Oreochromis niloticus: one gene and its partners. The protein of the gene in region 1 binds, or shares a complex with, the protein of each later gene. Links are inferred from orthologs where the notes say so. Each region holds a gene or a part of one and is shown in the gene's direction. Other genes may lie near its edges.

Evidence for each region.
Region 2: herpud1 (region 1) and ube2j1 share a complex: the UniProt entries of both Homo sapiens proteins name them as parts of the HRD1 complex. The link is inferred for Oreochromis niloticus from reciprocal best matches to the Homo sapiens genes HERPUD1 and UBE2J1.
Region 3: herpud1 (region 1) and os9 share a complex: the UniProt entries of both Homo sapiens proteins name them as parts of the HRD1 complex. The link is inferred for Oreochromis niloticus from reciprocal best matches to the Homo sapiens genes HERPUD1 and OS9.

What each region holds. Positions count from the first base shown.
Region 1 is NC_031972.2:2,339,852-2,343,606, reverse strand, and holds the start of herpud1 (homocysteine-responsive endoplasmic reticulum-resident ubiquitin-like domain member 1 protein), read left to right. Parts: upstream 1-1,161; 5' UTR 1,162-1,419; coding exon 1,420-1,572; intron 1,573-2,560; coding exon 2,561-2,638; intron 2,639-3,755. UniProt on the Homo sapiens protein: Component of the endoplasmic reticulum quality control (ERQC) system also called ER-associated degradation (ERAD) involved in ubiquitin-dependent degradation of misfolded endoplasmic reticulum proteins.
Region 2 is NC_031980.2:28,188,619-28,192,373, reverse strand, and holds the start of ube2j1 (ubiquitin-conjugating enzyme E2 J1), read left to right. Parts: upstream 1-1,297; 5' UTR 1,298-1,763; coding exon 1,764-1,794; intron 1,795-3,755. UniProt on the Homo sapiens protein: Catalyzes the covalent attachment of ubiquitin to other proteins. Functions in the selective degradation of misfolded membrane proteins from the endoplasmic reticulum (ERAD) and is essential for cells to recover from ER stress.
Region 3 is NC_031970.2:23,295,492-23,299,246, forward strand, and holds the start of os9 (protein OS-9), read left to right. Parts: upstream 1-1,020; 5' UTR 1,021-1,195; coding exon 1,196-1,348; intron 1,349-3,079; coding exon 3,080-3,262; intron 3,263-3,755. UniProt on the Homo sapiens protein: Lectin component of the HRD1 complex, which functions in endoplasmic reticulum (ER) quality control and ER-associated degradation (ERAD).

The sequences.
Region 1 (3,755 bases):
TGAGACCAATGGACATATATGAAACCAGTTATCCTGACATTACAACACCTTTCAGGCCACAGAAGACATTTATTTTTCCATAGATTTATTTCTTGTAATTTAATTTTCAGGTATTAGTGAATTGTAATTTCTTCAGTAATGAGCACATGAAATGATTTGTTACATTTTGATTAACTCTGATCACAAAAATTAGTGAAAAGATGTCTACTGTACAGTGTCCTCTATGTTTATCAGTTAGGGTCCCTTCATGCTAATGTTGCACTCTCCACTTCATAATATACAATAAAAAATAATAAATATAGCTAACATACACATTCATGGGAATATGAGGTTGAAATAATTATGCAAGTCTTTGTTTTTGATTGCATTTGACTTTTTTTAATCTTTCTATTTATGGATTTGTGGCACAGGAGCAATGGTCTCCTATAGCTTTGCCATCAGTCTAATTTAACTTTGTAAATAAAGTCTTCAGTACTCTTTTTAATATTAAGGTACAATATTAAGGTAATGAGGTACAATGGGAACACACGGTATCACATCATGTCCTTGTTGTAACTCTCTTGTGGTTAAACCAACGAGCTATGTAATAAATCGATCAATAAATTAATAAATACTTGTATTTGTAAGTATATGCATATAATCAAAACATGATACAGTATTAAAAATGTTTAAAGGTGCTGTTATCTGGTTGTTTTTTCACAACAGTATTTATATTCCGATGTTTTGCTCAGATATGTCGTTAACATCTTGTGGCTCCGTTCACTTTTCTGGATAAATCTTGTGGGAATATGTGAAAGTTTACAGCTGATGTAACAAGCCTGATGTAACTTCAGCTCAGATAGTTTTGCTTCTATTATCAGAGACGGAAGCTCACATGAGCTCTCACTGTGCTGTGCTTTTGCCGTTTTAGAAAACGGCAAAAGCAAAACCTTGAAAGCTCACAGGAAGGGTACAAAAGAAAACATACAAATGTTTCACTTTGGTGGTGTGTGTTCGGTTTTTGCTTGGACTTTATCCCGGGTCTAAGCGCGTTTATCTCTGCTTTTCGATACCTTATCAAATGGCGTCGGAGTGTGGGTTATTCCTAAATAAACGATCTTTGGAAGCGTAATCAATAACTGCGCATGCTCAAACTGTGAATATTCTGCAAACCTCCACGTCTGAGCACGAGCAGACGGTAGCCAATCAGGAGCGGCCACAGTGTGTTTGGAAACAACATTCCTCCTCTAAAGTCCCGTATGAGGACCAGCGGAGACACTTCTAGATCCACCCAGGTCACCGCAGTTTCTCTTTAACATAAAACGCACTTTCCCCCGGCCGTTCTTCGTGTTAGTGAGTCCAGCGGGTCACGGAGACATCCTGTTTTTCTAGCTCACACACCGCCATTACACCCGGAGCTCGAACCGACAGACGGTAAAAATGGATGCAGGAAATTCTGAACAAAAGACGATCACTCTCATCATAAAGACGCCCAACCAGGCTCAGGAGGACCGGACCATCGAGGGAGTGAGCCTGCAGTGGACCATAAAGGAGCTGAAAGCGCACCTGTCCGCTGTCTACCCGACCAAACCGGTGAGTTTACACAGAGAGCGGCGGAGCTATTCGCGGCTGTGCTGTGGAATGTGATGAGAGTAAAAACGAGCTGTCAGCCATTTCCCGGGTCACGCGCGTGTATATGCGCGCGCTCACACGAAACCAGCACAGCGTGCCTGCGAGTCACACGAGCTCGAGCTCGCAGTCACGTCATTTTTTCTGTTTAATTAATAAACTGATTGAGTGACACACCTGCAGTGAACACGTGTTTATGTCTGTCTGTTGTTTTGGTACAGACGATGGAGGTGTTTTTGTATCTCTCTGTAGATATGTCTCTGAAATAAGTACAACTTCACGGGAACATTCGTGTTATTCAGACCACATCCAGAGGTGTGTCTTGGGCAGGGGGGCTGCACATGTCAAACATCAGTTTTGGACAGGGAGCAGAGAAGGATCTACGCTTCAGTGGAGGCGTAGTGATGGCAGCTGTAGCCAGGCAGTGGACTGAAAATGTTCAAATGAGGAGCCAGGTTTCGGTCTGTTTACCCAAATGTTGTGGGAACTTGGCCATGTGTTTCTGGTTACGAAATGTTCTCATCGAAATCAAAGGGGAGGTGAGACAGAGAGGGTCTTCATCTTCTTTGATGAAAACAGTGCTGTGGTAGGCTCACAGCACACAAACACTTTTTCAGCTTTAATATTGGGACATCCCCTGATATGTCTCAGATTGCACCGTAGAGATGATTTACTGCAGCCTGGAACCTGCAGTGAATAAAGTGTCATCTTTATTCTTTCTTTTGATACTAAGAATTCTTTTTTTTTGTTGTTGTTGTTTTTTTACTACAATTAGATATCATTTCCAGGTGTCAATTATAAGTCTGTGTGATCTACTGTAAACAAATTACTCGACTTTGGCCATATTTCATGGTTTCAGTTTAGTACCTTAAAAAAAACAAGCTCCCCCACCAAACCCAAAGCAGCAAGGAGATCTGATCCGTTACTGACTTTATTCTTGTTTCGTCTCCAGGCTGTGAGTGACCAGAGGCTGATCTACGCTGGCAAACTGCTGCCTGATAACCTGCACATTAATGGACTCTTCATACAGGTGTGTATGACAGCACGAGCTTTCATGTCAAGTGGTAAATGTCACAAGCTGATTATGTGCCACTATGCTGGAGACAAACTGGTGGAAAAGGGCTGCTTTTATCTCGCTGCTGCTTGTAGGAGAATAAGGAAGTACACAGTAGTTACTGAGACGTGTGAAAGGGCTGTGCCACAAAAACTAGGACAGACTATTTCATGTTTTTTTGTTCAAGAATCCCAGTAGAGGCTCATACTGCCTGAGCAGGCATGATAGATGTAAGACAATACCAACCGTGCACAAAGGAGCTGTCAGCCATTTATTCTGTGAACCAATCAGCATAGAGCTGTAGAAAACCTGCGCGCAAGCTTTGGAGCTTATGCGGCCTTGATTTTGTGGGCCTGTCCCCACTTCATTATAAAGTAGAAAAACAAAACAAAGCTCATCTTACTGTCTGTCAGCGTTGGGAGCAGCCGGGAGGAACCACTATAGAAAAGAGTGCAACAGAGGGACAGCTCAGACTGAGAAGGTTGAGAGCTGAGGCTGAGATGGTTTGGACACGTTCAGGGGGGACAATAGCAGATCTGTTGGACAAAGGATGATGAAGATGGTGCTGCGAGGTAGGAGGAAAAGAAAAGGACCTCAGTGAGGATTCATGGCTGTAGTGAAGGAGGCCAGGGATAGGGTGAGATGGAGATATAAACTGAAATTTCAGTTGTATACAGCACAATGCCACTGTAACGAAACAAAATAACCGTGGACTTTTTTTTGTTTGTTTGTTTTCTGTAAAAATCACTGATTTGGCATAGTTTCAGTTTTTTTCCTCCCATGGTCATCCACAGTTTGAGAACCACTGGCTACACTGAGTAGACCCAAACCCAGCAGAAGAGCTTCATACCGTACCAGAGCCATGCTTCCCTCACTGTAAGGGTCAAGAGTGCAGTTTTTTTTCCTTTCATTTGTCACTGGTTATCAGACACACACACACACTGCAGTGAAAGGCCACATGCAAAAGCATGCAAAAAGAAAAAGTCACAACCTGGACACTGTCGCACATAATGGCTTCATTATTTCTGAGAAAAAGATTCCACAGAAGCATCAACAGCATAAACAAGTTGGTTCAGTTCAGTGGCTTAAATTA
Region 2 (3,755 bases), on another chromosome or scaffold:
CATCCACTGGAGCACAAACTGGGTGTAATCAGGATGCTACAACATAGAGCGAACACCATCCCCACAGACACAGCGGCCAGGGAAGCAGAAGAATATCACTTCAAAAAGGCCCTGAGTAAATGTGGTTATCCGAGCTGGATGTTTGTCAAAGCTGGGAAGGCACCTAAAGAAAGCTCCACCTAATCCAGGACAGAAGGACAACTGCTGCCTAAGCGAAAACCCGTAGTGACCTCTTCTGTGTCAGGAGTATCAGAACAGTTGAGAAGCATTTTTTCTAAACACCATGTCTCTGTGGCTTTTAAGACCCAAAACACGCTGTGCCAAAAATTGGCCCACCCCAAGGATCGGTTACGCCGACACAAACAGAGTAATGTAGTGTACGCTGTTAAGTACTGGGAGGATTGCCATGATTTATATATCGGGGAAACCAAACAACCCTTATGTGAAAAGGGAAAGACCATCTCTGAATTGACGAGCAGGCCACAGGGTACACCTTTCACCATCTTACAATGCTGTGATTGCAGCCATTCCCCAACTCTCTCTGAATGGTACTCATAGCCATTGATTAGTGGCCTATGATCAATGATCAGTGGTCTTGGATCAGTGGTTGTTGATCAATGGTCATGACAATTTTACAATTTGCATATTAATGATGAAGGAACTGACATCCCAGCCCATTGTTCATTCAGTGGGCTGGTTTCAGTCATTGTGCAAAGGTACTGTTTATAAGACTGGGGAAACCTGCAGTCAGCTGAGAATGAAGAAGTCACGTGACGAAACATTTCTCCCACTGAAATTTATAAACAGCCAAACACTATTCTGAAACTGCCATCTCAAATGTCTTATGGAAGTTAGAGTATATTATATATAAACGTACCTGTCCACTTGTTAATTACATAATCACATGGAGGCAGGGACCTCGCAGCACAAGCATACTCCCAACCTATTGTAAGATTGTGCTGTACATTGTTATATATAGTGTATTTTTTATTAGTAAAAAACAACAAGAAGTCACAAGAAAAAGGAGAAGACACACGGCACATGTTTAAACAAGGAAAGTTTATTCATCTAATAAAATAGACATAACATTATTTTTTCACCCAAAAAACACATATTCAAAGCACCATATCAGCCCGATATCACACAGTACTGTCACATGAAACAGAAGTTCTGTAGAGCGGCCAATCATAATGAAGCAGGTTGAATATGTTCTTGATTTAAGCTGCTCTTCATATTTCCGGCCACCAGATGTTACTAAAGAGGACAGTGTTGAAAAGCTTCGAGTAGCGAACTAAAGCTTCAGTACTTCGGAACGCTTCATTTGGCCATCACCAGTATTATATCTAAATCTTTCACTTTCCTGTTGCTAATACAATTCTAGTCTTTCGGTAATGATTTGCTTCCAGACTAATGCCATTACCGTTTCTAACAGTGATGTGCGCACTCCTTGCGTAGCCTCAGATTTCACTTCCTGTTTACGTTCCGTAAATGACGTCACGTCGATAAGGTTAGAGAAACCGTTTCAAAACCTAAACAGCAGAGAAGTTGAAAAATATCCCCTCATTACTGAAACACGTCCTGCCCCACTTGCAGACTGGAGCTCCGGTGCGAGAGCGGGACGTACGGTTTGAGCTGTATCGCTCAGATTTAAGAACGAAGCAAGCTAGCCGGGCTGCTAAGCGAAGCTAACGCTAATATTTGAAAGCTAGGTATTTGAAAACGAAAACAATACAACTTCAAGACAGTGCCCAGTTTCTTCAAGGATGGAGAGCAAATACAACCTTAAGAGTCCAGGTAAGCCTGATCCCAAAACAACTTCTACAGCTTTCGGAACCCTAGGATAAATCCTACAGCTAGAATCCAACACTTTAATGTTTCTTAATTAGCTTAACTGTTATTAGCCTCCGTCCCAATCTAAATGTTTACACTGGCACCTTTATTTAGTATTTTTTCGGAGTTCTTCCTGTTGTGTGGGATGCTTTATTTATTTATTTTAAAACTCTTTGGCATTCAGAGCAAACCATCTGTCTGTTGAAACTGTACCGGCTGGCTCTGTCCCTGTACTTTTCGTGTTGCGGAGTTATTTGACGTTACACACGTAATTAAGGACACGTCTGCGTGTTCAGCGTTGTAGTTAACTGCTTTGTAATATTAGTGATCAAGGGGACTATTTAATCGGCTGATTTTGAAGGTTGACTTTAAGAAACATAGGAAGTATGCTGGTCGTGTGCAACCCACAGCAATAACACGTAATTTTTATTTTTTATTTTTTTTTTAAACTTTAAACATATGTATTTTTATGACTTTCACTTTCGGGAGAAGAATATTTAAATGAGTCACGGAAATGGGAATGAAAAATGTTGTGCAGTTTGCAGTAAATTGCACAAACTCTTTAACGCCGAACATAAATCATGTCTTATGTCTGTCGTGATTATGATAGTTGCACTTTGCGTGCATGGCTCAAAGCTGTTCTGGCAGGGTCAAAACTTGGCCAGCTGTCCAAAACCTTTTCACTGAGCCCTCATGATGAGTGTTTAGAGGTGAGCCTTATAGTTTCTCAGTTTTCACTGGGACAGAAATGAACTGAGATCAGAAACATCTTTATTTGTGCCCACAAACAAGGAATTGGACTCCAGCGTTCCAGGTTAACTGGTATTTACGTTAACTCTCTATGTTCCGCAGATCAAATGGTCTTCTCACTCTGCCAGTGTGTCTTACGGTTTCACAAGATTAAAGACCTTGGCAAGAAAGGGCAACATCTCCAGCTGTACAAATGCATACGTGTCTCAACATTAGCTTCAGGCAACAATTAAATGATCTTAATTTAAAAATAAAAAAGTCTGCCGCCGTTCTTGTTCCTCTGTCTTTCTGTAACATAAATAACAAGCTGACATTTTCTTTATGACACTGCCGATCAGCTTGAAGGACCCTCAGTCATGCATGCATCCTGTTCACCTGTCAGCTGTCTAACGTCTGCTGCTGATTTAGGAAACATGCCCACATTAACTGGTGTTAGACACAGTTTAGTGGGCAGCTGCCTCCTCAATATAATGTAATATCATCACAATGGCTTGTTTCCTGATCTGGGTTAAAAATAACAAACAAGATTTACAACGAGGAGCGGTGAACACTGTGATAACTACAGAGCACTTCATAAGCGAACTTGTTGCTTTAATGAGAATTTGTTCTGCCACCGATTTGATCAAATGGACTAAATAACATCCTCTCAAGATGTGAGTATATTAGGAAACTCAGCCAGGTTTCCTAATAGACACATAGGTAATAGACACAGGCAATTGATGGTTATTTTGAAAAAGAAATCCTCTTTAAATGAACAATCCCAGGTGTTCTGGGCAGTATCAAACATCTCCACAATGCTGAGTAAGTGTATTTGTAATGTTTTAATACATCAGCAGGTTGTGGCAAGAAGGGCTAAATGCACTTATAAATGACCATTTCTGTGCAACTTTGGTTATTATGTTGGTGGGTTTTCATGAATGGTAGGATGGTCCATTGCAATGAATTATGGGACAGCATTTTTTCTTCTCCCTTCACAACAAATGACTGTAGAAAAGATGCACGATCTGGCTGCACTTCCTCCCATAGTACAAAAATGAAGTCAAACAAGCTACCATGTTGCATGTTTGGAGCCAGAGTCTGTGCAGTAGTGACTCGAGGTGGAATAGCTGTGTCACTCTCCTGCACACACACCTACTGGACGTGACCGTGAACACGCCCCCCTTCACTTTTTACGT
Region 3 (3,755 bases), on another chromosome or scaffold:
GTCTATCACAGAAGCTTTCAAACGTTCAGCCAGAGCTGAGAAATAACAACCCCCGAAAAAAAAATCTCCTGCCGAAGACGGAGACACGGGCCTTTAAAGCAGCACCCCACTGTAGAAAAAATCAAATAACCCCACAGCTCACCTCAGTTAAGACGCACACTGCAGACTCTTTCACCTCCCTGCTGCACGGAGCTCGCCCCTCTCTCACGGATCTGTTCCTCGGAGGTCTTGAAAATGGAATTATGTGGGGGGAAGCGGCGCAGAGACGGAGCGGCCGCGCATCGCAACACTGCAGGCTGTTGGACGGATGCTCCCCCTGCAGCAACAGCGGCTGCGGCGCAGCGGCGAGCGCACCGATTTCACCGCTACACCAGACCCATCAGTGGTCTGTCAGCTGAGCACGCACACACACAGACACAGAGGAGAGGATACCACTGAACTGACTGCACGATTTCTCAAAAAAAGTAGAATTATGATCAAACAGTAACATTTATGTCTACATACGTGTTTAGATTGGTGCGTGGGTGTGTGGTGGGCGTCTGTTCACACAGCCGATAAATATTGTACTGCTTATTCAGCTTCTACAGTATCACACCCTCTGTCCTCCCCTCCTTTCTGGTATTCTGTTAAGGAATGCTTTCTTTCTTCAAGGAATTGTCTTGATTTTTCCCTCACCAGATATTTAAACCCAGAACTGCACTTTTCGCTCAGCTCGGTGTGTACGTTTTGGGTGTCATATGAATCATTTTATCGTTTTGTCATCATTGTACCTAATTGTCAATGTAAACCTTTAAAATCAGTTACTTCGGACTGTTTTGCATCAAAACAAAATGAAACAAACGAAGAACCCCCCCCCAAACTCGTGATTGTTATTTGGCCATGCGACAGGCCGCCTTGTCTTCGTGCTTAAGTGTGAGCCTATTTCATCGCAAGTCAGGCGGTGACAGCGGAGATGTGGGCCATTATCAGTCATTGGCCGTTATTCATTAGCATGCTATATATAGCACAAACACGCCGTTCATTGACTGTCCGCTGGTATGAAAACCAAACGCACCCCAGAACTGGGGAAAAACTTTGATTGACTTGGAAATTGGCCAATGACAAAGCAGGGCTTTTCACCTCGACCAATCCGCTGCTACCATGTCAGGCATTCTGTGTGTTGTTGCTGTCAGACAGGGGTAAGAGGCGAGAGTCAATGATGGCTGCTTCCTTGGTTTGGTTGTTAAAGAGACTGTACGTTTTCTTGTTGGCATGTCCCCTCTGTGTCCCGGGCTTCTTGAATTTGGAGGAGCTTAATGAGATGAAATATGGGATTCAGATTCTTCCCGATCCTGTCATCCTGGGGCAGGTGAGTCAGGAAATGCTAACGGATATAGCTTGTTAGCTTAAATATGAGCTAGCGTTATTTATTTACTATTAATAGTGTCAAATAATTCACACAGCGTGAGACCTGATGTCATAAAAGCACAAAACATATGAAAATAAATCTTATAAAATTACATGAAGACTAGTAATTCTCAGGTGAAGTACGCAGCATGCTGTGACAGCTGTTATGTTCATTGCCACAGGTCTATAAGTAACTAGCTGAAAGTAAAGCCCTATGGGCTCAAAATGTGGTCATAAATATTTTGTACTTGTAAATCAGGATTTGTATGTGTAAAAAGAATTTGTGTGTGCGTAAAAAAGATTTGTATGTGTAAAAAGAATTTGTGTGTGCGTAAAAAAGATTTGTATGTGTAAAAAGACTTTGGGTGTGCATAAAAAAGATTTGTTTGTGGACTTAGCCAAAAACCCCTGCAAGTTACAAGTACGAATTTTGACCCTATTTTTCTTCCTTTCATCTGATTGGTCAATGTCATGTCAATCACAAATGTAACAATCCAATCAGAGAACAGATGGGTTTGGCTGTCGGAGGGGCACTTTTTTTGAACTGCAGGTCTTTGAAGGGAATAAATGCCCTTTTACATGCCAACCCAGTGTTTTCCTTCATCACCACGAAGGAAAACAGTCTGTGGTCGTCCGAGTTTGGTGACTTTTGTGTCACAGGTCTACGTGTTTAATACAGGGACTTCCACAGCCTTTTCGACAGCGCTGCGGACCGCGGGGGGGGGGGCGGGCAGTGTTTTGGAAATGACAGTCTTCATTACAAAGCTTTCTTCGTTATGAATTAGCATACATGTTTTTATTGAACATTCGAAGAACTAGCAAAAAAAAAACCCCCAGAAACTCTTGTAGAGGACATAAAGTCAGAGATAGAAACGACAAGGAGCAGGTGCATCTAGTACAGGTAGAGCTGCTGCAAAAAACCACAGAGCCCAGCAACCAGCGCAACAAATTCTGGATCCTTTGCGTTTAGTTAGCATTAGCAGCACATCCTGTGCTCGATGTGAAAGGACTTTTATGCTGCTCACTGTGACTCACAGCAATGGTCCCGGGTCAGCCCTGACTTTGTGTTAAACTAATCCTAAAGTAATAATGGTATGTCTAACCACTGGCATACCACAACTTTATCCTTTCAACAGCTGCTGAAAGTTAGCGGACCTAGCTGCTATCGGATATTTATATAGAGATCCTCCAGCTTCAAACTGTATTACCCTTCAAGGACCTGCAGTTCAAAAAAGTGCCCCTCCGACAGCCAAACCCATCTGTTCTCTGATTGGATTGTTACATTTGTGATTGACATGACATTGAACAATCAGATGAAAGGAAGAAAAATAGAGTCAAAATTCGTACTTGTAACTTGCAGGGGTTTTTTTTGGCTAAGTCCACACACAAATCTTTTTTACGCACACACAAATTCTTTTTACACATACAAATCTTTTTTACGCACACACAAATTCTTTTTACACATACAAATCTTTTTTACACACACACAAATTCTTTTTACACATACAAATCCTGATTTACAAGTACAAAACTGATTTACAAGTACAAAATATTTATGACCACATTTTGAGCCCATAGAAAGCCGCAAGCCATGTTTTTATCTGTCTGCACTCAAGTAATGCATTGGTAATGTGTGCCCATGTGTGTCAACATTAAATTCGCCCCCTTTTCCATGCCTGTCTTACGTTTGTAGACTAAGACAGAGGAGGTTATGATGGTGTCCAGTAAGTACAAACAGCTCTATGAGTGTCGACTTCCAGCCCAGGCTGTGCGTTTTCATCAGGATCCCGCCACTGAGCCTGACTCGGAGGGTTACACTGGGCCAGATATCCCAGACCTGCTCAAGCCCATGCACAATGCCCCATGTCTAGTCAAGGTTGGTCTTTAACTACTTATCTGTGTAATCCAACAGTGAAATGCTTAAGCTGTTTATACTGTGATGTGGCTACAAAAATAATACAACAATAAGAACAAGAGCAAAACACACTGGAAGTGACTGTAAGTTAAGTATATTTGCCAGCTTAAGTAAGCTATTTGAAAGACACACGTGAATGCACCAGAAGCTTGCCAAAACAACACTGGGAGGCTCTTGATTCAGTATTCACTGGATTAAAGGTTGCTTGTCTGCATCAGTGACTGGGTACAAAAGCAGTATATCTAAGAGACAAACATCTGTTAATGTACCTGTGTTTTCAATTGTTCAGCTTAATGTGTTAATTTAAGGTTTACCCAAAAGCCCACAAGTACTTTATCACTATTTTCCTGCTCACAGTGCATTTTATCCACTATGACTGGATGTTAGAGCAAAAACACCTTGAAAATATTAAAAAATGTATCTCGTTACAATGTGTTTTTTGTATAGTCATGTG